Linked DNA regions of Drosophila melanogaster. The protein of the gene in region 3 interacts with the protein of the main gene of each other region in a pairwise test. Each region holds a gene or a part of one and is shown on either strand. Other genes may lie near its edges.

The links.
Region 1: the proteins of Eglp2 (region 3) and CG32588 interact in a two-hybrid assay, tested with the Drosophila melanogaster proteins (one large-scale study listed by BioGRID).
Region 2: the proteins of Eglp2 (region 3) and Cpr50Cb interact in a two-hybrid assay, tested with the Drosophila melanogaster proteins (one large-scale study listed by BioGRID).
Region 4: the proteins of Eglp2 (region 3) and Mst57Da interact in a two-hybrid assay, tested with the Drosophila melanogaster proteins (one large-scale study listed by BioGRID).

What each region holds. Positions count from the first base shown.
Region 1 is NC_004354.4:15,203,204-15,210,215, forward strand, and holds CG32588 (uncharacterized protein), read right to left. Parts: upstream 3,434-7,012; 5' UTR 3,353-3,433; coding exon 3,191-3,352; intron 3,116-3,190; coding exon 2,966-3,115; intron 2,888-2,965; coding exon 2,687-2,887; 3' UTR 2,604-2,686; downstream 1-2,603.
Region 2 is NT_033778.4:13,790,826-13,799,600, forward strand, and holds the start of Cpr50Cb (cuticular protein 50Cb), read left to right. Parts: upstream 1-3,951; 5' UTR 3,952-4,113; intron 4,114-4,279; 5' UTR 4,280-4,350; coding exon 4,351-4,380; intron 4,381-8,775.
Region 3 is NT_033778.4:23,612,210-23,621,281, forward strand, and holds the start of Eglp2 (entomoglyceroporin 2), read right to left. Parts: upstream 4,546-9,072; 5' UTR 4,394-4,545; coding exon 4,302-4,393; intron 2,502-4,301; exon of another isoform or gene 2,258-2,501; intron 1-2,257.
Region 4 is NT_033777.3:25,828,426-25,834,920, forward strand, and holds Mst57Da (Male-specific RNA 57Da), read right to left. Parts: upstream 3,475-6,495; 5' UTR 3,452-3,474; coding exon 3,224-3,451; 3' UTR 3,150-3,223; downstream 1-3,149. Other genes in the region: Mst57Dc (Male-specific transcript 57Dc), read right to left, coding at 1,029-1,259; Sfp96F (seminal fluid protein 96F), read right to left, coding at 1,685-1,786; Mst57Db (Male-specific RNA 57Db), read right to left, coding at 2,357-2,479. UniProt on the Drosophila melanogaster protein: Transferred from male to female during mating and may affect egglaying and behavior after mating.

The DNA.
Region 1 (7,012 bases), on a different chromosome or scaffold from region 3:
GTTTATTATTCTCTAGTCGGTCTGCTTAATTTTCTTCACTCTACTTTATTTCACTGGCCCATCTTTAATGCTTTTACCCTTTTTCCTGCCTACTTATTTTAATTTAACCTTCACTTCTCGGTGTGGGTTGGAAAATTGGAATACGGTCAAAGTGTTAAGCCATTGTCGCCGTTGTTGGCATCTGCTCCATGTGCCACGCCTCGTGCCCACGCAACTTTTTTCGCCTCTGCACAATGTATGTAGATGGCGGGCGGAAAGGGGTGGTAAATTTGGGAAAAAAGACCAGATGACGACGAGGGCAAAGAAATTCGCAATTAATCACAATTAAAAACGGCCTGAAATTTCTTCTTCTTTTTTATACCGCCATGTATACCTTTAACTCATGTACATACATACATATATACATGGCTATTTTATATATATATATATTGTATATATTATTACATTCTTTTGCACCCTTTGTCCACGTCATCCGCATTTAATTATGGAAATGTTAATTTGCTTAGCACTTCAGAGCAGCGACCCCCAGTTACCCATTATTCCCCGGCGCTTTTTCACAGTTTTTCAAACGCATTTTCCCCGGGCTCCGCCGCTCAACTGGCTCCACCTGGCGGTGGCGAGTCAGCGAAAATGTTCATGTTTAGTTTTTTTTTTTTTTTGCCATCACGCCATTAATTTTCAATTAACACTATGCCAGAAGCAGACGACGCGGACAACGACAATGATTATGGCAAATGGCTGGCGGATTATGGGTGGCGCAAGTGGGCAAGTGGTGCTCCTTTGAAAGTGGAGTCGACACCGTCTGGGTCACCGTTAGTCAATGGCACAATGCTCTAATCAGGGCGTAGGTATTGGTCCAAGTGCAAAGCTGACGAAGAGCGCGTCAAAATGATACCCTGGGAAATGAGGTGCCGTGCAAACTTAACTTTTGTTGAGAAATTAAATGATTCTGCGGGAACTGGTTCTTGGCAGATATAGTATATATATTATATTACTGCATTATTTAGTATTCAATTAACAGTTTAGATAATGAACTTCAATTATTGCAATGAAATAAATGTTGAAACCTCTACCAAATGAACTTTTTAAAAGTAATGGGCATCTGCGAGCCTCATACTCTTCCTGAGCCATGTTATTTCTTATTTATTGCCTCGTTCGTGCTTTCATTGGCACCCAACTTAACCTGGGCCAACCCAAGTGGTCCTGGCCCAATCCCCAACTAAACCGAAAGCAAAACCAGCCCCAACTTCCTGTCCACCTGTAGTTCATTTCATTTACCGCTTGTCCCTAACAAAGTTCAATCCTTTGTTGTTAACCCAGCCCAGGTCCCCCCCCTCCCCTACCACCTTTTCCTTTAGCCCTCTTTTGGGGGCGCCCCTGTCGTTTGTGCTTACGCCATTAACTTAAAGTGCCATTGGCTCCGAGATCGGTGTAGGGGAAAAGCCGGAGGAACATCAGAGCATCAGAGCATCTGGCCATCTGCGTAGTCTGGGAGCACTTAACTTAAGCGCTCTAATTGTATTAAAAGCGTGTCCTTTCCCGCCTACGGCTGACCCACCCCCTCTCTTCACCACCCTCTCCGCATATATCTATATATCCCGCCATATCCTTAACCACTTCTCCTTCTGGGCGGACAGAGCAATGCCACATAGTTGACGTTGACGTAATGTCTCGTCCCGGCTCGCCTCGTCTCGTCACGCTTTTGGCCTGGCCAGCATCTCGTTTTTCCCCGGCTAATTCGGCTAAGTGATTTTCATGAGTGCGTGCCAGGGCTGCGAGCCCGGTTTAATCTGACTTATGGTTTAATTAGGGTCAAGCGAAAGGGGTTCCCTATGCCTCTTCGGCATTGCAATTAGTGCCGATAAACCCGAACAAGGCGAAAACTTATTTGTGGAGCTGCATGCGTTTGCATTTATACACAGAAAAAACTGTGATAAAGAAATGATTATATTATTGCAATAGGTGCAATTGAGTTTTAAAGAAATAAGTTCTATATCACATCATTATTATATTTATATATGTTTACATACATTTTAATTTTTAGTTTTATAGCTACCAATGTTACCCAAAAATACTGTTGAATTTGCCAAATCTTTCTTCTTCAAATCTCTAATCAATTTCGTCGACTTTTTTCGCCGTGTAGCATCCATTTGTGGCTTTGTTACAATCTTTCCGTTCGCAATGTGCTCCGGTTCACCTTTTCGGCCCACTTTGTCAGCTTCTTCCTGCCCGCTCCTCCACTTGGCCTCCTTCTTGGTTGCTTATTTTTGGCTTGAAAACGCGAGTACAACGCACCCTCCACATTCCATGGCTTTCAAGATTAAAAAAATGGCCAAACCGTTAAAAAAAGGCATAGTTTTTACATCCTAATTGCCAATACTAACCACTTTTTGACTGACTTTGTGTAATTTTATTCACAACTTTTACACTTGCCAACAAAAGAGTAACACTTATCGCGAATGTGTGCCCTTTTCGCCACTTGGCAATTAAAAAGTTGTCGCCAGCAAAATTAAATTAAAATGAAAACATTTGTCAAATCGAGACTATACAGTCATCGCAAGGAGTCCACAGACATTCGCGTGAAGAATTGAGAATGCAGCATTAGAGGAGTGACAATGTATTCAATGTATATTTCAGAAAAAAAGCAATTATAAGGCGAACAAAACATTACAATGAAATCCGTACGCTAATGAAAGATCAAATACTTGAGCAGCCATTGCCCGGCAACAACACAGCACAAGCTGATCAATATTTCCCATAGGGGGGGCACACTGCGCTCCAGAGGCATCAATCCACGTCGCTTCATATCTAATTTAATGACATACACATCGATGGTCATGATGATGGCAAAAAGCGGAACGAAGATATTATTCTTATGCGGAGTGATCTGGATTTAAACAATGGTTGCAGTAATTTATTACAATGGTACAATAAGTGTGTACATATTGTAAATCTTTGTACTTACAAATACAATGGAGTATATCATTAGCATGTACGCTCTCACCAGTAAAAAGTGTGTGAGGGCTCGAAAGCGCCGCGAATTGAAGTCCTTTAAAATCAAAAGATTGCTTGGCCATCCGAAGAAAACGATCATGAAATCTATAAAATTTATTAACTACGAATTTTGGTTAGGTGCAATTAGTCCTTTACTTGCTGCCCACCATTAAATAAAGGGCTACCATTTACTCACCAATCGAAGGACACCGATGTTGAGGGTATAAAAGAATACCAATAAATCGATACTTTTCGAGATTTTCCAGTTGATGCGCCTTTCGCAACATGATAGAGGTATCTTGAGATTGGTGTGCACAACGCGGCAAAAGTGATCACTGATCTGCTCGAAGAATGTCATGCCGAAATGTACAAATAAATTTTCCAAATTTATAAAAGAATGTATAAATAGGTGCTTCGTTCAAGTCAAAGGGGATGACTGACTGAAAGGCAATGAATGAAAATCGAAAACGATTTGGGCATTAAATCATGGCCAACTACTCCCGCTGGCTGTGCAAGGACACTTGGCCTTCTTCTTGGTAGCTTATTTTTGTCTTGAAAATGCGAATAACTGGCAATTTCTGGCCGGGTCTTCCACACACCATACCACACTCTACACAGCACACACACCGCACACACACCGCGCCGTCGACATTCCATGGCTTTCGCATGGCTGGAATCTGGGTAAATGTTAATTAAGCATCATTTACGCATTCAGGCCGCCATAATTTGCAGCGACAATGACACTGACAGCGCCACAATGTTGCGACAACTTTGACAAGCCCGCCAGCCAGGACACAGAAACGGAGTCTTGGAGTCCTAGAGACACGGAGACACAGAGCCCGACCCTTTACCCCATTTACCCATTTACCACACTGTCACTCGGCACGCAGTCAAATTTAATGTAACATAAAAGGTTTTCCATTTCATTCACCATCCTACTTAATGTATATCTGGGACGTAATGGTTCCATTAGGACAACCGCAAATGTTCCAGAACATTGCAGTTGGCATTTGCCTGGATGTCTGGGGAAAAGAAATTGTTCAATAAGCAGATATCTGAAAGAAACGATTGACTTGGCTGGTAGATTGTTCGGACTACGTGGCTTATGACAAATGTTCAAAGCTCAGTGTTACTCACATTACGTATACGCGGTGTAAACCATGCCCAAGACTAATAAAAGAACAAAACTTGTATGTTGTTTTACATTTGGGGGCAGCTTATAGATATTTTTATAAATTTATTATTGCAGAAATCTGGGTAGAGCGGTATGGCCTTATCTATGTCCTGGTCCTGGCAACGATTCCCCTTTTGTCCGAGTCCCGGTGCCACACCATCTGCTGTTGGTGTCCCACTGTCCTACCAAACGTCCAATGGCCGCTTATCTTTCCCAGACAATGGACAATGTGGCCGTGGATTAGCTCAGCCAAACGGTTATTTAGCGGCGTCCAGAGCGAGGATTGTCTTCACCATTCACCTCCTCCTTTCAAGGACTCCGCCAAATTGTGGCCACAAAGCGGCCGGGTGAAGTGCGCCCAACAGCTGGCCAACAAAATTCAGAGATGGCCAACAATACATCCAACAATGCCAACGTCCAACGACCAACACAAAAAGCAACAAATCGCCAACTGTAGAAACAAAATAATAATAAAGACAAGCAGCAACATGGAATGGCGGAGCACAAAACCGAAATAGCAAATAAAATTGCACAGCAAGGATGAAAATGGAACGAGTGCAGGAAAGGAAGAAGAAGACAAGGAAAGGAGCTAGGGAGTCCTGCAGAAGAATTACGTTAAAAGCCAAGAATAACGATGGTACAAAGAAATTCGGTGGAACAACACGTGACTTACCCTAAGGGTTAAGTAAAATAAAAAAATAATAATTATTAACTTGGAGTATTACTTTTTTTTAATTAAGTTGTTGGATGAACAGGTATTGTGTACATATGTACATATATGTGCTTCACAGTCATTGCAATCAAAATGTAAACACTATACTAAATTCAACACAATTTAAATTTCCTTGTTTTATGAATATGTTTATACTTTTGCATTGCTTATACACATTTACACATACACTGCAAATACTATACAATATGTGTATTATATTTAATTAAACTAATGCTAAAACAGTTAAAACCGAAAATAACATCACTCGATATTACAGGGTATCGCCGATAAAGTAAGAGGGCAAGTTAGGGTCGCAAGTCGCGCACACATTTCTCACACCAAATGCAAATAAAACGACGCCTTGGAATTGAAATAGAAATAGAAAATTGCCAAACAAAAATGGCAGCATAAACTTTTGCTGTTTGCCACTTCCGTACGTCATTCGTTCTGCTTTCACCTCCTTTCTCCGTAGGTCGTAACTCTCGCACACACACACACACAAAATAAGAAAGGAGAAAGCGAATAAGACACAGTGGCACATATACGCACAAAAGTCTGCTGCTTGTCGACATTTTGGTAATAAATTGAGTTTTATGGCAGTCATATTATTCTTTATTAGTGGGTAAGAATTGTTGCCTTTTGTTGGCTTTTGTTGCCGAAACGATGTCTCAACCAGGCCAACATCCTTGCCATCCCGAGCATACCGAGCATCGTGAATCCTTAACCCACAATGGCTAGATATCACTGGTTCGGTTCCGAAGTGCCTACTCTGTGTGGCTTAATTAATTTGGCAGTGTTTTGCGACTTGGTTGTCAATGGATTGGACGGAATTCCCAGTAGCCCTCGACCGAATCAATCAACGACAACGCCACGGCCCTCGTATATTTACTCTTTCATTTCCCAGTAACGTGGCTGGTAAATCAAAAACTCTCATCCAAAATTCGTTACTTGGCGTTAAATTAGTCTCGGCTTTCGAACTTCGCGGGCATACTAATCAGGTCCAAGGCGTCCGCCCAAAATGGGATAATCCGTCAATCGAAGCTCGCAATTTTCACAGCTGTCAACGCAAGTCAGATTGGTTATTTCAAATAGCATTGCCTAGAAGTATAATAAAATGTTTTAAAATAAACATTTCAATACAAAACAAATGGTAAACGGGCTTAATTATTATTAATTATTTTAATTATTATTTCGATATTTCATTAAAGTGTTTCTTTGTTAAATTAGAACTTTCGATTTGGTGCAGTATTTCGAGTTTCTTTCCGTGTAGCGATGTATTGTATCATCAAGGCCATTCAATTAGCAATCATGGAGAGCCCGCCAGCTTCTCGTACCTGATGATCCATGAAACGTTCGAATAGAGAGCGCCCAAAACTTTTGCCTCATTTCCGGAAGCACTCGAGTCCTGGATCAGAGGAGCCACAAAACTGTGCATAATGCTCCGCCCGAGCAATTTATCATCCTCAGTTCCAGTTCCCGCGAGGCTGTCGGCCAAAAACCAGCGGGCGGTAGTAGAAAAAAAATTTGGCGGCGAGTGGGCCGAAACCTTTTTGGTGGGGGTGCCAATGGAATGTGGAAGGGCGGTGGCCGATGATTAATTGCTTGAATGTCCAGTCGAGCAGAAAATTCACAAAACATTTCCATCATCAAAGCACACAACTGATTTTTCTGTGGAAAAGTGAATCCTGTCAACGATGAAACGAAGGCAGACAGCTCTTTAAGTCCAATGTAGGAATATTGCTCTCTGTCAGTTTGATTTCAAGTTATTTGCCTAATTGCGAGTATAGTTTATTTGCTTTCACATTTATTCGTTGCTAATTGCACATTTCAAGTTTCAATGCCTTTCATTGCAGACTAATTAAATGCTTAAATGCCATATATTTGCTTTCACTTAACAACTGCTTGTACGCATGAACAAAAAACAATCAATGGATAGACATAACTGAAAGTAAACAAGTTCAAGGGAAATTTCTGGAAATATAAAATTATGAAATAAATCAGACACGAAAATTAGGTAAGTTTCGTCAATAATTGTTGGCTCCTGTCATATTAATTAGGTGGGAATTACAGCGTTTATTATTGAAATTTATAAAGTCATATATGTAAGTTTACAATGCATTACTTTTATTTTA
Region 2 (8,775 bases), 9.8 Mb from region 3:
TATCTGTTGTTGAGCTTTTGTATCCGTGCTCCGGAGAAAACACGTAAACAAGTCAACGCAGGTTACGGCTCAATCGCTCAAGATCTCGGGATGTAACCCAGAGGGAAACTGAAGCTGAATCTGAAGCTGAAGCTGAAGCTGAGGGATTTTTTCCCTCCTTTGACTGACTAAATAAAAATTAACAAGGATAAATGATGCGAGCAGGCAGGCGATGTCGGGGAATGCTGGTAATTGTCTAGCTGCCAGAGTTGCCATCCTCCATTGTAACGCAGTGTTTTTGCGTGTGGGTGGGTGGGCGTAAATTGATTAAATGCAAAATTGGAATATGCAAATGCAGCCCCACACACACACTGACAATGGGCGTGGCCAAGGGGCGGTTGACTTGGTCTGAGATGTGATTTATGTTAGGTGCAAAGTTTTCCACAACTTTTTTCTGCCTCGAATTCATTCTTCTTTCCTCAGGTCTTATGTTTTATCCGTTTTCTTTTTCTTTTCTGTGTGTGTGTGTGTATGCTTTTTTTTTTGAGGGTGCAATGAACGCAAGTGCAGAAGATGACGATGACAATGAGGATGCACCAGTTGGGGAAGGTGTGAACGCAGAAAAAATTCGCTTAATTTGTCTAAAGAAAAGCCAAGAGCATGAAAATTTCCATTAAGAAAAATGGTGGCAAGTGTGGCAAGTGACAGGGAAAGCTCGACTTTAGCCCCAAGATTGTTGCAGGAGTAGCAGCAGCATAGCTGGAAAAACTTATCACAGTTGCTCGCTGGAATAATGAGAGCAATCAACAGGAAACTCCGGCAAAGAGATCAAATCAAATCAGAAGGAAGTGCCAAAAGGAGATGGCCGTAATGAAAGCAATCAAAGAAGCCGTTAGCAACTTTCAGGCGATCATTACACTACAAGTTTTTAATGAGCACAGCAGAAATTAATACAAGCAGGAACAGTACAAAACAAAATTTAAGAAATATATTATGCAAATTATTTTACCTGTACTTCGAATGCCAGTTAGAAAATCGATGATCGTGGGGGAAATGCCAAGCGAATCGGACGACATTTGATGCGCCTTCACCGCGAGTCTATCGAAAACTCCATTTATTCCATCAGAAGTCCAAGACATTTAGTCTATAAATAGCAAATGGTAAGAAACGCGCCTCCGCGCCGAAATAAATGCAAATCATCCGTCTGGACTCAAAACTGGAAAATAAAACAAAGATCGCCGCGTTTTCGACCACTTCTCACACCAAATTCAGAGGGCCATGGCGGCAGCAACATCAAGTTGCCGCTGCAACAAAAAAAACACCGCGCTTAGTTGCAACAATGGTCGCGACAACACTAACAATGCCAGCGATGGCAGCAGCAACAGCAACAACTGCTGCAGCAGCAGCAACATCCAATGCTGGTGGCAATAAAATGCGGCAATTACATAGTTGGCTATTCTAATTCACTCATTTTTAGCTTGAAAAAGGTGCGCCTGACTGGGGCTATTGGAATTTATTTTGGTTCTACAGCAACTGCAACACTAAAAGCAGCAACAGCAGCAGCGGCAGCAGCAACAACGTGCAACAAGCATCAACAGGTGATTCGCCTGAATGTTGCACGAAATGGGCAAAACAAATTCGAGGAAAAAATCATCTTAAATGCTTCTGCCGAAGAATTTGAGTCTGTTCTTTTAAATGTTAATTTTTTTTTTATTTCGTCTTCCACTTGCCTGCAACAATTCAATAAAGTTTAAAATGTCAACAGCTGGGCGACAGAAACGAGAAAAAATAAGTGAAATAATGCACAAATGGCTATTGAAGCCCACGAAATGTTTGACTAAGTTTTGCTTCCGTTTCGCATTGCTTTGGAGCCGGAGCCCTCGAGTGTCCACTTGATGAATTAAAAGCGGGAAATTTGCAAAACTTTATTACTTTGGACGTTTTGAAAAATGATCGAAATGCCGAAGAAACCGAGACTGCAACGGTGGCAACAGCTGCCGGCCGAAAGGCAATGACAGCGAAACAAAAGTTGCCCAATTGATGTCAAGTTATTGTTGAACAAATCAAAAAGGGAATTTTCAGCGCGGCCTTATATAATATCGAATTCGCCCCATCACACTGCTCTAATTACATTTTAAGTCGAAATCCTTTCGTAATCGCAGCTACCAACGATTGCACTTGATTTCGAGAGCGTCTCAAAAGAAATTTCAATTTGCCCCCAGAGTTTGCGATATGGGTAACAATCCCAACAATCCGAACAATCGGACCAGTTGGTAGTTTTCAGTTGCCAGTTGGCCCCGATTGTCGGCGGGTATTATGTTGTTAAGACATCGTTTTGACAGTACGTTCGCCTCCGCGTGAAGAAGACCGTTTGAGATACACACACACCACATACACACACGCGCGCACATGTGTATCCGCAGCTCAAGTGTCACGGAAATCTAAAGTTAAAAGTAACCAAAAGTTGTTCAATTACTTTTCACAGCGGTCCATTGAAGATTGCCAGCAGGTGTAAGCGGCGCTGATAGAGGTAACATCTTAGGTACACGAAATGTTACCTTGGAAAATGGGTACCAAACTAATAAAATCTAATAAAATTGCTTATAAAAATAAGATATTGAGATATTAGAGTATCTTTAAGATTGCAGCTATTGAAAACTAATACCATATCTAATATTACAAATATATAATATTATATTAATAATAGTTTTAGTCATAGCCCAGTGTAATTGGTAATAACATTTCGATTTTGGTACAAGATTTTCGCATCACTGATTATAAGATGGGTTGATTGTAAGTGTAGCTATTTTCGATTGATTGCTCCCCATAATAATTTCAATATCTAATTTTAATATCGCACGCACGCACACATCGCCACCTCGCAAGTGGTCAATAAAAATGTGAAGAAACTCTGAAATCAGTCATCGGATTGCTTTTAATTGTTATTTAATCTCGGCTCGTACAGAGGCGCTGTGATACATTCAAGGTTAATTGGTTATGGGATGGGATTTGAGGCCTGACGGAAGAAAAGGAGCCATGCGGTTGATGTTGGTTGGAAGGAGGAAGTTGGCCCAAAGGCACTCGACACGTCTGCCAGCCTTGTGCAATGGCCAATGGATGAGTTTCGGGGCCTCGGCTACGGATCTTTGGCATGAGCCTCACGTCATAGATTGCATTTTGGCAGAGGTGCTGCGGGAAATTGGGACGCCACATGAACACGTTTGTGCAGCTTGTGCAATTTTCCCCGGGCAACCGCATCACGTACTTCTCACCAAACTTATTCTATGTTCTGATGCTTTCCCAAAGGCCAAATGGCAAAAAAAAAAAAAAGAAGAAAAAACAAACAAAAATAAATATATAGATATTTCGAAAAAGGGCGACTGTATCTTTGGAGGCTAAAACGAAACCTATCATCTGACATTCCCAGTGACATTTTCGTATCGTCTCGATGGCAACTGCATCGCCCGAGGGCCCAGACTTCATAAAAGCTTGGCTTAAATATCAAATTTGGCCGAGTATTTAATGAAGTCATTCGGGGCGTTGCAGGCTCTCCACTCGAACTCATCTTGTTATACATCCGCCCGAGCTTCATCATCATCGTGCCAGCCATTCATTTATCATCTCGTTACCCATCATCGTAATGATCGTGCCACGGCGATGATCTGCAACATTTTTCACCACCTCAACACCAAGACTTGGCCAAAACGGTGAGAGCAACGCTGCGCTCTCTTTGGGCCATTCTGAGAGACTCGTGGATGTGGATGCTCTTGGCTCCAGCTCCACGGAGGCAGATGATCTAGAAGTTAGGCGCTAGACTTGCCTCAATTGTTCAAACCGCTTTTTCGTTACTTTTAGGTGCAGTTGGCAACGCGAACGCCGCTGCTACCGCCGCTGCCGCAGTCGCCGTCGCCGCCGACGTCGCTGCCAGCGTCTTTGAGCGTTTATTATAAAAAGCAAGCGCATCTCCATTGTCTAACCTAATTCAAAACGTTCGTGTACTTCGTGCGGTTGTCTAGGAAATCAATCTAGCCGAACCTAAAAAGATAAAACCACCTCCTCTTTAACTGAGGCCCCCTCCTAGTTGAGAAATCCAACCGGTGATAAAAAAATAAAACCCTCCCCCGCCCGGTGAAAGTAAGAGTTAATACAACTATTGTGGCAAGCGAAGGACTACAAATTAAATAGTGTGCAATAATCATAAAAATAACACAAAAGACACTCGATTAACTCGAAACAATATAAATGAAATAATTGACAACTCTAATGAATTTAATTTAATTCAATTCAATTTCAACTTCAGCCAGCGGCGTTTGTGGATACACTACTTTTTGCCATCGTCTGTGAACGTAAAATCGAAACTCAACTAACAAAATGATGTCCTTCAAGTCGTTCGTCCTGCTTGTGAGTATTTATACATACGTACATAAAACAAGGACATGTATTTCTGGGCCTGGAAAAAAAAAACATAGCTAAGCCTACATAAATCAGTTGGCCAAACAAATCATATGAGATTTCGCAGGCGTGTCCTTTGGCTAAAGCGAAACTATATATGTATGTATGTTTGCATGTATGTGTATGTGTGTGGAAAGGCCAGCAAGCTAAGCTTGTTATATGTCAAATTTGTTTATCGCTGGCAGGGAAAAATGACCCGTGGTCACTCAGTGTCCTTTTTCGTCTACAATGTCATTTTTCTGCTGCGGCTTTTGGGGAAAGTTTAAATGAGATTTGCTAGGAGAACTGAAGGCAACTACCCATCAAACTGGTTGTTTCAAGTGCCTGGCAAACTGTTTGCCTTCCTTTTTTTTCGTTTTTTTTTGGTAACACTTGCCGTCAATGGCAACGAAAATGATTGCATAACTTGCCACACGTCTGCCACAGAGCCTCTCATCATCATCATCATAATCAAAACCCAAGTCCACACACACACACACACGAAAGTCAAGTGGCGAAGGGGCCAAAGTAACCCCGCCGAATCGAACAAATTGCAAATAATCAAAGACACTTAAGTGCTCCACTCCGCTCTGGTTAATATATATATATATATATACATATGTACTTGTACGTACTCCTCCATGGATACGCATTCAATATTTGGCAACATCTGCGTTTGCCAAGTGCCACGTAAAATACGCCCCAAATCTAAGCAATACTCCCTGATTGTTCCTAACTAAACACTTGAGTTTCGGAGAAGGCTAAAAGGTTGTAAGGCGGAGGACACATGTTGGTAATATATTTCCCCTTTCGTATTTAGGCATCATCTGAGGAAAATTGCAAACCTTTTTGCTCCCCTTGAACAATTGCAAATATATAAGGCTCCAACTTGACTTTATTTTGTAGGCAAACTTTTCTTAGCTGGTGCTAAATTGACACAAGTTTTTTTTCATCAAATTGTTGAAAAATATACTTTATACTTTACTAATATAGTTTCGTAAAAATATTTATATAATTTGTTTCAAATTGCTGTAAATTGACACAGAAAGAGTTGTGCAACTAAGAAATTTCTAGGTGATCCAAAATCCTTTCTGTTACCTATTAATTTACACATTTCGCTTTGGAAATTCTCCATATTCTCACAATTTTATTGTGAAATTACAGTATTGAATACTTTTCCTGGAAGTCCAGAAGTTAACCCGCAATCAAGAGCACACTTGTAAACTGCGAAATACTTTCACTTGTTCGCCATTGTTAAAGCATTTTGAATCGCGTTTTGGGACGACGCCCTTAAGCAGGCAACAAAATAAAACAGACGCGAGTTTCGCTGGCTGCTCCTTGATGTCCTTTTATTTTTTGTAACTGGGGCGTGTTAAATTGTTGGTGCGACACTTGGATGCAATGCAGGTCCAGACGGCAGACCACACTGTCTGGAATCCATCCAATGTACCTCCGCCCATTCCGCGTTACGTGAGCACACAGGAGAAAAATTAGATTTCTTCAAAAACCAAAAGTGTCTAAAAAGATTGAGATATAAAATTATATTAATAGGTACTCAATGAAAGCCATTCAAATGTATGAAGATTTTCAAAGAAGACATAATCAATATCTAATTAAAATTTAATTGGTCATACATCATGTAATTACTCGAATGAATTTTTACGATTAACGTAATCGTGATTAATGGACGAGCATAACTAGTAGTTAAAATAAACGCAATATATATGCAATGTTTGAGGCCAAAGTGTTAGATCTTAAATGTTCTTCTATTAGCCATGTTTTTTTTCAGCGGTTTTTCTCGCAGTGCACTCCTCCATCTCTGATGCGTCTGGTCTGCCAAGCAGATAACTTCCAAAAGGTACACCAGACGATAGCAAAGGAATAGAGTTTGAGAGCAGAGTGTAGAACTCCAGCCAGACGCGTGTAATTTGCCGCTTGTAACTTTTTGACTTTTCACCAGCGATTCTCCATTTCCCCAATGCCGCTATATTCCCCTTATTTTCTTCTCCTTTTTTTTTACCATTCTTGTTTTGGCCCGAACTGGGCGAATAACAGCAGGCACGGAAGCGTACCAAGCCAAAAATAAAAACCAGGAGCCCAACCACCCACTGCCACATCCGCCCACCAAAAGGCAGACACTCGATAGACAAATGGCCGCTGGCCAGTCGAGTGCACGGGCTTTTGAGAACATCGGGGCGAGCATGTTTTACATGTTAATTTCAGCCCGGGGGAGACTCAACTGGCCAACTACCCAGCTAGCCAACTATAGGGTACAGAGTACGAATACGTCGAGCACCCACACCAGCTAGTAATGCCCAACTGCTGCTGCATATTAATGCCCATGATTCCAGCTGCTCATTTTCGCACGCGAAAATTGCAGAACTGGTGGCAAAGAATTCGAGAAACGATTGGTAGCATTGACTGGCATTCATTCGGGCACGCTTTTGAATTTCAAATGACAAACCTAAAATATTCACAGTTTGATATTTGAGTCCGTCCGATGATGGTGCTGCTGCTGCTGCTGCTGCTGATGATGATGATGAGCTGGCAAAAGCCGAAAGTCGAAGCTGCTAATTCTGCATTCTGCATTCTGCATTCCGCACTCTGCATTCTACAAATGCTGAATTGTTGCATTCGCCGGCCGCAGCGAATGGGCAATTGTGAATGCCGGCATGGGTCAATGCAATGCTGCCTCCGATTCTGATTAGAGCCGCCTGATTATGGCCAATATATCGCATGTCTGGCCAAAAGTCTTTCATTGGCTCATCGCTGCACTGCTGGCGATTCGAGTGTAAGCGATTGCCCAATGAATGTTGGATGTGTGGAGGGTATTTCAAAGGGATATTTGCATTTCGTTGGGCTCCTGCTAAAATTCTACAAATTATCAAATTATCAATAGAAGTTGCACATCCGTGAATCCAAATATTTCAAACAACAAGCCCATTATTATTTTTATAAACTTCCAATTTATAGCAGCGTATTCCCCCATTCGTCATTTCGCACAGGCTCTACCCTTGCATTACAAATTCAATTTTAATTGAAATAATTTGGCAGATTTGCCAGATTTCGCTTGATGCCGATTGGCATTGCCTCAAAGCTGATCCGTGCTTAGGTAATTGAGCCCGGGGGTCGTCGAATGGGCGCTCAGACCCATTCTTCTGCCTTGGAAGTATGCAATTTTGCGGCTTCACCGATATTTGCTGTAGCTTTGTGCGGTTTTATTGTCTTTGGCAATGGCTCGAATGCGGGGGGGAAAAAAAATCCAAGCGAAGAAAACCCAAATGGCAAAAAATTAATGACGCTTGAGCAAGCGGCAAGTGCAGCAGCATATATGTAGTATGAGTTGGATGAGGGGCTTCTGCGGGGAAATGGTAACCAGCCAAGCATCTGCGCCTTTGTGTGTGTGTGTGTGTGTTTGTGTGGTAATCTAATTAAATCGAAATTTCAGCTGATTACAAAAGCCCAGCCTCCGCCTCTGAATTCGCTAATTGCCCAACCAAAACCAGAGCGTCCAACGTGGCGTATGCGCAATGTGAATAAGAGGCATTTCTCCTCCGTTTCCCTTAGGCAAGGAATTTTTAATTGCACTATTCTGGCTGCAAGTGTTATTTCGTCGGCGCTTTTGTGGGTCCACAACAGCTGGCAATTGGAAAATTAGTTCACTGGGGTTTTTAACCGAAATTCTAGCATTTAAATGGCAGAGAAATAGTTCTGGAAAAAGTTGTACTTGGTTTTTAGTGTGCAACAATTTCGGTAGTTGTGGTTTCTGCACAACAATTTTGGCTTAAAAAAAGCTCATAATTTTCATTCGATTTGGATTTTTTGTTATACATCAAATGGTTATACCAAAACTATAAGCATAGAAACTAAAAACTAATTAAATCCATAATTCAACCATAATACCACATTTACCTAATAATCGGTTTTTATGAGACAAAAAAGCTCCCACATAGTTTTTATAACATTTTAAGTAATTGCACATGAACAGCTTGCAAATGCATAGTTGGTCATAAACAACTACTTGAAGTATTCGATCGTAGCATATAATTTATAAGTTTTTTCTCACCCGTTTTTTGGGTATTTGAAAGGTTAATATCTTTATGGACAGCCGGCGGCTTTTGTGCATTGAAGTGTGTTATTTAATTCGGGTTAAATAGGGTTAATGTAGTGTAGAAGAGGAACATACTAGCTGAAGATCTGCCGATAAACAGGCGAAAAGAAATTGACTTATCACAGGTGAATCCCCAAGGAGGCCCAAGTCGTGAGACAAGCTGGCCAACCTTTGATCTTTGGCATTGTCCTTGTATCCAGCGGGCACGTGACTCTGTGACAAACAGCTGGAAACATTGGGTGCAAATTGCACAA
Region 3 (9,072 bases):
ACTGGCAAATAACTCTTATTTCTGTTGCTCTGATAGCACTCGGCAGTGACCTAGGCTACGAATTCCTTTTGCTCTTCCACGAAGGCTGGTCAGCAGTTAATTTATGGTTCGATGTGGCCTCTAATCGTGATATTTTTTATTTTTGCTGGCAATACGTATGTATATGCAGTCCATTTGATAATGGCGATAAGGATGGAGTGACTCTGGAATTTGGCTGAAGCTCATGCATTATGCAACGGCCCCGTCCTAAAGTCTTGAATTGGAACTACACTCTGCTCAATGGCGGCTGGGACACCGCCGTTGATAACCTGCTAACCCCACGGCAGAGCACCTTATCAAGTGGCAAAGCAACCAAGTTAATCGCAGTTCCGAGTGGCTGCGGTTTGTCAAGCACAAATACAATGGTGGCGTGGGATTGAATGACATCAACCAACTGTGAAGAATCACCGGGTTTTGGCCAAGTCAGGCACAATTACCATACAGGAACTGCCATAACAGACACTTGAACTGGCCCAATTTGAGTCGGGCCAACTGTTCCGTGTCCGACCGGTTTCTCAATCATATGATGTGACTTTACAACTGGGCCAAATCTCGATCGATTCGTTTAATAGAGCCAACAATCTGGATCTGGCGATGGTGCACGCGATTCGCAACTCGATTGATTTATCAAATTTGATTAGCACAAACTCGTGAGTTCCCCCCTCCAAAAGATCTTAATCGAAGGCATGTGCCAACTTATATAAAATCGAGACTTCGTTTAGTTAGTCACTAATTACTTGAACAGTTTGGTCATTATTAAACTCATCGTACTAATGAGATCATCTGTTTTATTAAACATTGTTTAAAAGGAGCAATTGAAATCGCTTTTCAAAGTCTGACCTCTAATGTCAAAACTTAAGTAAAATAATCTGTAAATAAACAAGAATTTGTATTTCTCTTTTTACCCCTTTTATGAGATATTTCTGCTAACAACTTTATCAGACGCTGCGACCTTCAAGGCAGCCGAAAAAAAATGTTCATATTGTTTGGTTTCATTTTTCGTTTTTTTTTTTGGTGGGAGTGTGAGTTCAAGTTCTCGAATTGCGCAGATAAAACTTCGATTCCAAGCTAGCCAAACCAATGCCGCGATTCTATGTAGAAGATAAACTGAAATATTTACAAGTGGTCACATAAGACATTGCTACTTATGGTATCATAAAATGATCAATTTGGCGCAGGCACTATGCAAAATCGCCTGATCCAAGGCCAAAAATTCCGTTTCTTACTTATCAGGGCGCTTTTCATTTTATAGAACCGAGAACCGAGAATCGTGTGACCCCGCCAATCGAGTTGCTATACTTATTTTTCAATGATAATTTTGATAAGACCGCCACACCAGCCGTCGTCTAATTAGTATACAAAAACAACAATGGTCGGGGCAAACATATATGAATGTATATACACATATATAGGTACATACATATATTTGTGTAGCTAAAAGCTAAAGTAGAACAAGCGGACCGAACTAATGTATGCGCACACAGAGTGGAAATGTTTTCCAAAAAGCCAAAACGTCCAAAAAGCATGGCACAGTTCTTTAAAAATAAACATTCTCCGTTAGAGTCGGTTTTCAGCACAAGGCAAGTGTTAAATGAATGTCACACGAAGAAGTCCTCCCACTTTCATTCGTAGAATGATGGTCATATCTGTATCTATTGCAGTTGAACTTCTAATTACTCGCTCTGATAGTTGCGCAATCGTGGGATCACTGACAATTACCTTCGCCCCTGCAAGCTTGCCCATCATCAGGTGCAAATGCTAAATAATGCACATAATTACCAGTTAATAATGCGGCAGTCGGTAAACAACAATATTAATAAACGTATAAATGTGCAGGCAATGTGCCCGCCCGCCTGGGTGTTTTCGATTGTTCTTCGCTTGTTTGATCACTATTCAAGTATTCAAGTATCCAACTATTCAACTATTCAAAGCAGCCAGTGGCGGCGCTGTGGGAGTGGGAACTCTACTTTTTATGGCTAGACGATAGGCGATAAGGCAGAAATGGAAAGCTGAATGCTGAAAGCCAAGATAACCGAGACATAGTCAAATATTTGAATAAAATTAACATTTATCGGCCATTATACGCGTGCCAAAGCAGAATTCGCACTCGAAAACACGCACTCCACTCCACTCACTCATTCACTCTCCTCAAGATATGGAAATATTCCACCAACTTTCTGTTTCACTGTGTTATTTTTTTCCCTTTTTTTTCATTTACCCAGGAAGCAGATCACGATACTCAAAAGTGCATGCGCGCCAATTCGAAAACGCGTTTTGCGAACCACTTGTGCTGCCAGTCAACGCACTGCAGGCCTTTTTATATCGAAGCCACCTCTCTGCCCACCTGAGTCTTGATGAAATTTAGCGACAGCTTTGCTAATTAATTAACGCACACTCAAGCAGACCACGGAGAGCCAAACTAACCTGCGTTCCGATCGATCGTTTGTTTGCTATTGAGTGTGGAAAAGGCCTCCAGCTAAATACGCGCGATCGACTGCGAGTGGGCTGCGCAGTCGGCGTCGCAGCTGGACACCATGGCGTATGATTGCTCTAGCTATATGCTGCTGCTGCTTTCCAGCACAAGCAAGCAGTGCGAAGCTTGCTGAAAAACGCCAACTGCCAGCTGCTCAGTCGACGCTGCGTTCTTACGCCGGTGATGTGAGCTTTTGATAGCGTTATCAAGCAACTAAGTTCACTTTGATATGCGCTTTATTTCAAGCAGCGCAAACAGCTCGCAGCCGGCAAGCAGTGTAAAGCAGTGGACAGTGGAGTTTGGGAACGGGTTTTTGTTGATATCAATAAAAAACACGCTCATCATGATTCACCGAGTTCTTTCAATAACGCCAACGAAATATTTGATATTTCACAAGATTAGAGGCTGAATCTATCAATTTAAACTTTGATTATCTCATTAAATCCATGACAGGTGCATCACTTCTAAAACAACTTTGCTATTTACATTAGTTAAACAAATAAAGTCTAATATAAAACCCATACTTACGGACACAATAGTCACGCAGTCCCGAGTAAACAATTAAAAACCCAAAGTTCCCATATTTGGACACATGGAAGTCATGCAAACTGTGCAATTATAAGTTCGAATAAATATGACAGTCATACCTGTTTGCCTAATATTTCCGCCAATTATCAGAACACCTCAGATGCTGAGGTTGGTAGTGAAACCTAAAAAAAAAAAACACTTCAATTGGTCTCAAGTGGCGCTCCCCAACTGATAAAACAAATCAAAACTGATAGGAAGAGCAAGAGATAGACCAAATTAAATAATTAAAAGCGTGCTATAAAATAAATCAACAGATGACAAAATCCGTGGCAAGCGAGTGATTGTCAATTGAAAAACATCCATAAAATTTAAGTGGCGCGCCCTTTTTGATAAGAGCGTATCAAGAGGGAAGCGGGGATTAATGGCACTGTTTACACTTACCTTCAAGGTTGCGGTGATTGGAAAACTTACCCGTAAGATTCCTGGCTGGATTTTCATGGCACTCACTTCAGATAGCATTGCTTATCATCCACGACCAGCGGTACGTCACTTATCGAAAGCTTTATCGCGATGACGGATTCGGATTTCCTTGTGGCCTTGACACTCAAATCACTCGCCGACTTGCACCCAAAGCATTAGCATTAGCGGCGGAACACATTTGAAGTTCGATAATAAATTATGAACATAGACATAGAAACTATGTGTGCCAGCGATCGAGGTAGAAGCAATTTAGCTCGCTAGATTAATAAATAAATTCAATGAAACCGCAACGAATCAAAGACGCGAATAGAAGCGATTGATGTTTTCGAGAGTTGCTTATCGAGCAGCCATCGTAAACTCACGCGCATGTGACACAGTGTTCGATCCACTTTGGACTTTATATACTCATATACCATATTATTATTATTAATATTATTATTATTATATTATTTACTGGTCCAGGCCAGACTAGCTTGATTTATGGACACTTCGTTTCTGTCTAGCCGCGTCGGGAGTCACCGAAAATTGGTTAAACGGCCTGCGAAAATGCAAAATAAATAAACAAATGCGGCGGCATTTGTGTTTTCTTGTATTTGCAGTGCGGTTCTCGATGCCGCAGCCAAAAATAAATGTTGGCTTTCTGTTTTTGCTGCCTGGTAAGAGAGGGGGGGGGGGCTGGCAACGCTTATGCGCACGTGACGCATACTCAACGTGGCACCGAAAGTGTGTCAGAAATGGGTATACGAAATAGTTTTGTAATAAATAGCAAATGATGTCGCACCTTCTGCACGTTTGTTTGCCACTCGGTGGCTCTTCGCTGCTCATCTTCATTTGATGACCGATTTCCGCGGACTGCGGCTGTTGCACTGGCATTTCCCTCCTCGATTCCTCACTTCAACTCCAATTGTTTGGTCGCTACTTTATTCGCCTTTTCTCTCCACTTGTAAAGCACTTGACGCGGCGTAGCAACTAATTGAATTGCCCGTTTGCAATGGTAATTTTCATGAATCGACTGACTGACTGACTGACTATAGCTATACTACGGCTATAGCTGACTGGCGGAGAGTAAACGATGTCGATGTCGATGTCGCCGCTTAACAAAACCGAAGAGCAAAAGCCAAAGCGCCCATCAAAATCAAATATCGCGCAAAAAAAAAAGGCATGCCATAAAATCGAGGCAGCAAAAACCGTAAGTGCCATTAGACACGATACCCAATCACCAGGTGGGTATATACCCCAAACGAATGCGATGCGCGTCAATCTAGATAGTGCCGAGGGTCTGATCAACGACTTCCTTAGCCATATAGCCGAACTACACAAGTGGAATTTTACCCGACCGAATTGAAATTGATAATGAACTAGCATTGGAGCATTGGAGGATGAGTAAGCCTTAAATACTCCACACAAAAAGATTACCCACAAAACGGCTTGAGATACAAAAAATGTTCGACTATTTCTGCTTTTTCATTACAAATACTTTCCTGTCAATAACTGACAGTGAAAACTGATGGTTACGTTGCGAAGGGATCATGCTACTTTGGACATCCATTAAAAATGTCTGCGTGGTATCCGCTTGGTCGAGTACATAAATTTTCCACTTGCCCTCGTGTTTTTTCGACTTTTGTTTTGATTCGACAGGTTTTCGGTGAACTATTACGTAGAGGGTCATCACAAATTGAAGTGATCTCTTTGAGGTTTTTTTTTTTTTTTGGGCAACCCATTTAATTGCTGCCGCAATTGCTTGCCATTGTTTCGCACAGTGTATGCTAGTTGGAGTTTATCACTCGTGTATGTACATGTATGGATTTATACAAAAAAGCCTTATAAATCCCCCATAGCAATTCCACATTGACGCAAAGATCGGCTTTTTATTTGATTAGTTTCATTCGCGTGCAATATGATGGGGTTGTTTTAGTGCTCTGCAATGGGGGCGGTTCTTTTTTTATCCACTATATTGGAGGCCCGCTTCGATATCACTTATCGGAAAGCAATTTATTGAGCGGACGAGTATTGCTCGGGTTGTAAAAACAAATGATAACCGTTTGTTCTGTGAGTAGACTGTAAATAGATAGCTGAAATGAGCTTACTGTGTTTATGAATTCATAAACGAATTTTATGGGAGTATAGGACTTCTGTTACTACCGTTACAAGGGTTTGCGATTGCCTGCAAGATACTTTCAAAAGATACTGCATACTTTACGGATGCTCTTCTAATGGGTGCATACTTTTGGGCATTTTTCTGATTTTCTATTTCTTTTCAACTCTTTTGCGAAAGTGCTTATTCTAGGTTCTCCTTAACGAATCATATTTTATAAATTTATTTTTGAAAATTCATTCAGCAAAGGTTCCAAAAACAAACGCAGCTCTTAAGATGTATTTATGGCGCCACTGAAAGCTTTTCAAGCTTTCGCTTGCATTTCCTAACGACCAGCTTTTTATACCCTTAAAAGGGGGTATTACGGAATTAGTAAGAGCTTTACAAAGCAGTGGTAGAAAAATGTTCTTCTTATAATTAACTAATTGTTTGTAATAAAATGTACATCTTCATTTGTTAAAGGATGTGATATATGAACCCCAGTGGTGGAAGTAGCTACTGGGGTGGGTTGTTTTTTTAGGGATCATAAATAATAATAATACCTCCGTTTCTAATTATAAAATTCTTAGATTGGATATATACCAAATATAACCAAATGGTAAGCGATTAAAAAGAAATGAGGCATTATGTTTTTATATAAATGAATATGCAGTATATTTACATATATCTTAATTACTTCAGCCATAATTTGATAGCAACTGTATGTAGTGCTTAGAACTTTTTAAATAAATTAAACATTAGCATTAGTATCCGCTCCATTTTCTATTATTTTCAAGCAGCGCCGTGTGGACATTAACTTGACGTATTCGAGAGATCAAAAATAACCGACTCACGGCGATTAACAGGAATTAACATGTATCGCTAAAGTCGGCCAAATATTGACAATCGGCCGAGGCGAGTGAGTGACGGAGATCGGATGTATCCGGTCCAGCGATGAGAAGCAGGATTGGAAGGAGGAGGAGCAGGAGGTGCTGGTGGTGCTGGAGGCCCTGGAACTGGTTAATGTGAGTACGTATACGTATAATCGATTTCACACTACTTTTTAATCACTACAAAACATTTATTGTTTGCCCGCAGCGAGAAAAGTCAAACAAAAAGCGGCGACGAGTCGGAATGGGTCGAATGGCTGAACAAATTGACTCGGCCACATAATTAGGCACTTGCCCATGTCCACAGCTTGTACGATATATCCATACACATTTGTATTTGTACATATACATATGTATATCCCTTCGATTCCGTGCAGTTGAAAGTATCTCACGCAGTGGGACAAAAGGTTTTTATTGTGCGTACCCGTTGACAGCCTCAATCGACGGGGTTTGGTCGAAACTTACCTTTTGGGTCGCATCGTTTGTTATATTTGTTATTTATTTTGCGGTTATAATACTTATGCACTGGCCGGGACGGAAAAATATTGGCATCCATTCAGCGGGACAAAACATCACGGCGTTTTTACAGTTTCTCGAGCCGCGACCGGATGATAAATTAGCTTTGTACGTAAATTCAAAATGGAAAATCAGTATGTGAAAATATCCCCAGCTCGAGTCGAGTCGAGTAATTGTGTAAATATCTTGTCGCTGCATGACAATACCAGACATCCCCATTCCGCCTTTCTTTGCCGCACAATGAATGCCACATTATTATTTTGTAGTTTGTCAACCAAGCCGAGTCGAACCCAACCCCGAAAAAGGCGTTTTTCGAGACGGGTGATGAGATGGGAGATGGGAGATGGGAGATGAGAGATGATAATTCAATGTCGCTCGGCCAGCGCACGGATGCAGATACAATATCTTTTTATACACATGATGACCGCGCAGGCCAAAGGAATTGTAATTACGTGTCCGTCGCCTTGTGCCGCATTTGTATCTTCATTTGTATCTGTATCTGCATTGCGAGTATCTGTATCTCTGTATCTCCAACAAAGGCATCAGCATAACAATGCACCCATTTCTGTAAGCTCCGGATCTGAACTTCTCCCCCTCCCCCCTCCACCCAGCAACGCGCTGTTTCGCTTAATAAGCGCCTAAATAGTGTCAATGATTAATTGCTTTTGTGATTAGATGGAAATTTAATAGATTTTTTATTGTCTGCCCGGGCAAATTGAAATTCTATCAAGGTACAAACACAAATGCTGGAGGCACGTCTGCTCGTTTTTGTCTCTGCAACGGCATCGTTATTACCCTCCTCACAGCTTCAGTTCAGTTATTTGTCAGGCGGGCAAAAGAGCCGCATCATTGTTACCAATTTCGAATTCAAATTGAAATTCACACGCGTCACGCTGCCCGAACCAAAAAAATGTGCCACAAACGCTTGATCTGCTCCCTGTTTGTTAGCTTTCCTCAACTTGTTAGCTTTCCGGGCAGAGAACACATAGCACATGGCACAGACCACAGACCCAACCCCACGAATTCCTCTTATATTAAATGTAATGCCACCGCAAAAATCCCCAAAGCCGGCCGAGCGACCACAGGCAAACGGAAATAGATACGGAGAAGTCCTGCGACTAGCAATCTGCTCAAATCCCACACAAAGTCGCAAAGGAAACACACACATTGAAAGGGGAAATTCAAGTGGAAATTACTCAATTACAAGGCGCGTCCCCTGCGCAGCAATTCTTCAGTCAGTTCTCGGTTATCCTGATTATGATAGTCCAAGAACCTTGGGGGAAACCCTCCAAGTCGCCGCCGATGTGCGATAATTACACTGCATAAAACGTGGGGTAGACAATGCAACGACAATTATGTAACCCGATAAGCGCTGGCCAGCGTAGAAAAACTCAGACAAAACTTGTGAAATTAATAACCCACCTTCGCTCGAGACTCCGACTTCGAGTTTGACTTGGAATCCCCCCTTCTTTGGCCAAACATATTTATTACAAATAAAGAGACAAACACAAAAGCACAAAAGGCAAACAAATAAAGAGACCTGGCCCAAAACATTCGAGGACGGTAACAACAAAGCGTTTGGGGCATTTAATAGGCTTAACTAAAGTCTGAAGTGTTGACAAGTTGTTGTGTTTCGATTTACACACGAATTTGAGCAGAAAACTCAGTTCTGTGTGCTTAAGTTGGTAAGAGAGATACAATTATTGCATCTCCTTCAATTGCTTTGATCAGTGCCCAAACACGTAATTCATATATAAGCCGGCTTGGAGTGTGCCCTAAAGGTTTTCAGATTGATTAGCACGGGTATGGAGCTCGGGTATCTCAAAGATACACAAACACCACATGCTGAATCCATTTCAATCGATTGGATTAATCGATAAGGGGTCACGTCGTTCACATTTACCTTTTTGGTTTTATTGGACATATAATTAAGAAATTGTGTAAATATATATTGTGCATCTGTATCTTTGACCTATTTGTATCTAGTATCTACGAGCAATGTGTTTTATCATTCATGAAATGAATTTAGCCATCTAACGAATACATGATTCGGAAGCTTCCCATTGGCTCAG
Region 4 (6,495 bases), on a different chromosome or scaffold from region 3:
TTTTTCGCATTGGCAAGCGCTTTTGGCCCAAAGACAGCGAGCCACTTGTGTGCGATACGTTTGCCACAAAGACTGAAACGAATCTCTGAAAGGAAGAGAGAAGACAGTCATATACGTAAAGCCATTTGAAAACTATTACGCCCAGGAGATTCATTCAAGTAGTGCGGCATTTATAACTCAAATGTTGCCCAAGTAACAAAAAAGCCTAAAAACTCGAGCACAACGGCAGGAGTTCAGCTGTGGAGAAGGATTTCCAGAAAGCCAGTTAGTGATGAGAAACGAATTAGGAATATATTATGTATTCCTTCATGGTAGGGCTATATAAAAATAACGTACAGACAATTCAAAAATATCACATATATAGTTGTAATATGTTATATCTGGCTAAATCAGTGGTAGTTCTTTCTTGTAAATGTTGAAACACTAGAAAAACTTTGCCCATCTCTGTTGAAGGGTATGGGAATAACGAACTATGGCAGGAATATGAAGAAACTCTGGATACATTCGAGCCAATGGCGAAAACGGCAACACAGAACGGCATTCTCTGTGCTTGCTTTTTATTAGAATGCGTCCATGGAGACGTGGGCGCCAGCCATTGTCTGGCAGCCTCCTCCTCCATGAATCCCTATCGCCTTCAGAGCGAGTATATATTGTATAATATATATTGTGCCTGTGCAGCTCGCTATACATTTCTTAGCACGTAGTTACCTATGGCAGCAACTGGAACAACAATGCCACTTGAAACAACAATAAAAAGTTTGTTGAATACAGATACTCGTATATGTGGACAACTCCCTATGCCGCCATGAAAAAAGAAAGAGAAATAAAATATAAACTTTCTACACCTAACTGGCAAAACATGAAGCCATAGCAATCTAGTTTGTAATGTAAAGCTGCTTACTAACTACGTTTATATTTTAAATACATTTTGTAGCACATATTTCAAACATTTAATCGCACTTTTTGGTCTAGGTTTTAATTGGGCATTATCTTTACTATTATTATAAAATTCTCTATGATGAGGCTTTTTACACTCCTTCCGGTTTCCAAGTCTCGACGACCGCGCTAACATATTGATTACAGTTAGGCGGCAAGGTTAAAATCCTGGACTTAACTATTGGCTCGTTCTTCTTTAAACAACGCAACATGTTGTGCATATTTCTTTCGGCCTTTGCCACGTTTTTAATGTCGGGCGTCACACCGTTAGATCCCAGGACTCCACACAACAGAAGCAGGATCAAAAAGTGCGTTCCGTGCATCTTTACAACTTGGTGAATGCTAACGATTGATATTCTTTGTAGTTGCTTTAAATAACATGAGATGAAATCGTTAATTGGCATAACAAATTGAATTGGTTAAAGGAAAATATGTTATAGATATTCGAAATGGTTTATTACAATAGGGGTTATATAACCTAGTATATGACCAAAACATATTTCTCTACTGCTTCGGATTTATCAACCGATTATCGATCCAATACCAGGACAATTATATTTTATATCTCCAGTTTATTCCAAATATACTATATATTTAAATCCTTGATCAATGCTTTTTAATATACATTAATTTGAGAATAAAATAATTAGCTTGTACACAAATTAAACGATAACAAATAAATAAAAAACATAATAAGTTCACATTTTATAGAATCTTTTATTCTTTTTCTCACAACATAGAATGTTGTTTAATTAATATTTATTACATTATGATTCACATTGGAATCAGCATCTTTTTGGGCCACAGCGAAGCCAATAAGCAGCAAAAAATAACCCGCAAGGAACTTCATGTCTATCAGAAGAGAATAGAAATAAAACACAGACCCGGTTTTTATATAGTTTATAAGCCAAGTGTTGCATAAGCCAAGCGAATCGTTTAATTCTTTTAAACGGTGGCCAATTTTAATATCGTTAAATCATTTTTCTTTCGGTCGTACGAAAATCAAATCTTTTGAATATTACATTTGGTAAAATTGGTTTTGCTACATTTGGTTTTGGTACATTTGGTTTTGGTACATTTGGCATTGGCACCTTTGGTTTCGGTATCAGCGCTTTTTGAAACACTTGCGTTTTTAGCATAAAATATATATATTAAAATTTATATTTAATATAATTAGGCAAAAACATCTGATATACTGTCAGATTGTGACTAGTCGTAAAAGCCATGACCATTAATAAGTTTTGGCCAAACAAAGCTTCGAACAAAAGGTTTATGAAAAAATATATATGGTATATTCTTGTATACTAAAATAGATTTAATATTTCAACTTAAAATAAAATAAATAGGCCATTGCTATTACATGCAAACAATTAAGTAAATGTTTTATTGAATTCTGTGCCTGCAATTATCAAAAGCTCATTTACTTTGCGGCGCTGGGACTATTGATGTGGATCACATTCTTGTTTTCGTTGGTGTTCGGATCCGCAGATTGGGCGAAAGCCACACCGGCAAAGAGCAGAACAAGTGCAGAGGTGATCTTCATGTCGGCCAGTTGGAATTGGAAGTAATGACAAGCTAGGGGAGTGCTCTTCTTATAAGGCCTGGGTTGCGTAAGCGATACTAATCTAAATGCCAGACAATTTGAAATTAATTGCACGATGAAAGAAAAAGAAGTGGAACTAATTCCTTAAACCCGAGACATAATAGACCGATTACAATTTAAATAACACTTGATTCCTTTTGTCAATCTGACAAACATTTATATAATCTGAACTTACCTGGCACGGCGATAGAAATCTTTCTTGATTTCATAAAATTAGTATTAGTCTTTAGCAAGCATTTTTAAAAAGCACGCCAATGAAATTTACTAAGCCGAAAAAAAAAGTTTCTTCTTGAATTCAAATTCATAATCACACCTGTTTCAGAAGGATATGAGAAAGCAGTTGTCTGGTTACTATCTACCACAGTTCTCAATGACTTGTCGTGATAACAATAGTCAGTTAAAATAAAATTATTATTTTCCCAACAATATTGGGAAACGTAAATGAAATTTACTGAACCGAAGATACCTTTTTGTTGTTTGAATTCCAATTCATAATCACACCTGTTTCAGAAGGATCTATGACAGCAGTGGTCTGGTTACTATCTACTCCCATGTCTGGTTGGGGTTTCAAAAGTCAGTCCATGTAGTTTAATATTGTAATACATAGATTAAACACTCTCATAAACATATATTGTGATTAGCGATCCATTTTATTAGAAGAAAATAACCTCTGACTCATAATATTTAACTTTCGGCTGGAGCATCTGCGAGTCCTGCTTCAGGAGCAGCTGGAGCTGCGGCAGGAGCTGCGGCAGGAGGTGCGGCAGGAGCAGCAGCAGCTGCTGCGGCAGGTGCAGCTCCTGGCTTCTTGGCACCGATGACGATGACGTTGTGATTTGTATTCTGGCTCTTTTGGGCGCTAACCAAAGCCAGAACAACCAGCAAAGTGACGAAAAGAGCTAGGAACTTCATATCGGCCAGTTGGAAGTCAATTTAAAAGAAATGAGGAAATGCAAGACCGCTTATATAGGCAAAAAAGATCGCCAAGTGAAACAAATCTTCAAATTCGACACGCTTGACCTTATTATACGTGGTTCATTCGAGGAAAATAATGTAATTATCATTGGCATGTGTTTGATTATGCTGATATATAAAAAAAGGAATTAAGTGGAACCCAAGCATAAGTTACTTAAAATATAGAGCATAAGCTTTCAAAATATCATACAAAATATTTTTTTCTTGCATATTGCTGTTACAATCACAATTTCGTGTGTGAAGTGAAACGAATTTGGCTGTTAGTTAACCGTAAGCTACGACGTTGAAGTGCAGTCTAAAAATCTCATAATGAAAGTGTCACGAACTTTAATCGTTGTAGGTTCTCTGCTCCTGATTCTCAGCATCGTATTAACCTACAAATGGATAGCATACAATCATGCTTACCCGAAAGCACAAACAGAACTAACGAATTCGACGAAGAAAGCAAATCTCATCGATAGCAAGGCTAAGAATAAAAAGCACGTGCAGAATTCCTTAGCCAAAAAGGCAGCCAAGTCGGTGGCCAACCAATCCAAGTTCAAATTGGACAAGGTTTCTAAGAAAATTCCAGTCATACCCCTGCTCGATGTTCTTAAGGCCAAAAAGCAGCCAAGTCGTGGACAAAATATATTCTTCCATGAAACCACGAATTTCAAGCGGATAGAAAAGAGCTCTGTGGTCCAATTGACGGCACGGGAGGCCTGTGCCATTGAATCGGCCGCCCTTCACAATCCAGGCCTCACTGTATTTGTACTTTTTGCCGGCGCCACTCATCGCCCATCAAGTGGAGATCCGCTGATCAGGGCTGTTCACACATGAACACGAATATATTTAAAGACTTACAATTTTGGGCTCCGTTCATATCTTATGTAAATGAATCGAGAGCGATAAATTATATTTAGGATTTTGTTATCTAAGGCGACATGGGTGCATTGCTCAAAAACATGTAATTTAAGTGCACACTACATGAGTCAGTCACTTGAGATCGTTCCCCGCCTCCTAAAATAGTCCCTTAGTGGGAGACCACAGATAAGGTCCTCGCCGCTCAAGATAGGCAGATGTGCCCGAGCGTGGGACCTCGATAAGGCGGGGACTATTTACTTAGGCCTCTGCGTAGGCCATTTACTTTAAGATGCGATTCTCATGTCACCTATTTAAACCGAAGATATTTCCAAATAAAATCAGTTTCTTACAAAAACTCAACGAGTAAAGTCTTCTTATTTGGGATTTTACATTTGGTCAATCGAGCCTTTAATCGACTCTGCAGTTTCCCCCTACCAAAGGTAAGGAACTCAGAGAAAGGCCAGCTCCTTTAAGCATCTTACAGCTAAAGGTAGCAAAAATAAGTGACTCTTGTTTCCCCCTACCAAAGGTAAGGAACAGAGTATAAATATAAAAAGCAAAAGATACAAAAGAATCTTTTATGTTTTAAAACAAGCACCTTATAGTCTATAGCTAAAGGTTGCTTTGTGTACCATTATAAATTGTGGTAAGGCGTGCTTGAGGCCATACATCAGCAATTGTGGAATTAAAAAGTGCATAACAAAAGTGCCTTATAAATGCTCTAATAGCATTAAATCAGCTCATAAATAGAGTGCAGTGTATATGCCATAAGAGCATAAATTAAATAAAAAGTGCCTGAAAACAGTGCCTTATAAATGCTCTAATAGCATTAAATCAGCTCATAAATAGAGTGCAGTGTATATGCCAAAAGAGCATAAATGCCGAAATAAATGGCTAAAAAACAAAAAATCTGACTGGACTACAAAAATAATAAAACGTGCCAAAAAAAAAAAAAAAAAAAAAAAAAAAAAAAAAAAAAATCATCTTTAAACATCGACGGAGCCTTAAAGAAGAGAAGGAAGTCAAATTCAAAGGAGCCTCTACCAGCAGCAGAAGCAGCAACAACAGCAGCAGCAGAAGCAGCAACAGCAGTAGCAACAGCAGCAACAACAGCAGCAACAGCAGCAGCAACAACAACGACATCAGCTAAGTCAAAACAAGAATTTTCTGTTTATCCAAACACACATATATATATAAATACATATAAAATACATATACACGTACTATATATATTAAGAAATTACAAAAAATTTTCAAAATGATGTCAGAAAAGACTATTCAATTCCTTAAGAAGCAGTCCGAAATTATTTTGGAAATTAGAAAGTTGGAAGTAAAACCAACATTAACAGATGTAGAAATTCTAAAATTAAATGAGCTTCAAAAATGTTTCATTGCTAATCATAGCAATTTGTTAAAGATCGGCGTTGTCGATCATGAATATTTTAACGCGAAGCAGTATGATTTAATAATGATGGTGTTAGAAAAAATTAAAAATAAAAATGAAAAAATTAAGGGCGAGTCGGTAGAAAACACTTTCCCTAAATCAAACACTGTCCCTAAATCAAACCCTCCCCCTACATTAAACCTTGAAATGCGTGGTCACCCTGAAAAAGAGGGTATAGCACAAAACAACGCTTTAAAAGTAGAGCAGGCATTTCGTAATAATGTTGGCCAATTTCGAGTATATCTAGAAGATACGTCTAAACTAATAGACAGTAGTCCAGATTTCCTTAAAATAAGGAAAAATAAAATTGAATTTTTATGGCATAAAATAGATAACCTGATTGAACAGGTGAATAGTCATTTTGAGAGTTCGCTATTCGAAGAAGAAATTAGCGAACTTGAATTTGACAAACAAAATATTCTTACAGCCATTAATAGTCGACTCAGTGGCACAATAAATAAAGCTGAAATGTCGACGGTTGTTAAGGCGGAGGAGTTACCAACCCTGCCTAAAATACAGATTCCCACCTTCTTTGGTGATTCCAAAGAATGGGATCTTTTTAATGAACTCTTTACAGAGCTCATACATGTGAGAGAGGATCTCAGTCCTTCTCTCAAATTTAATTATCTAAAGTCAGCATTAAAAGGAGAAGCCAGAAATGTGGTTACTCATTTACTGCTCGGCTCTGGAGAAA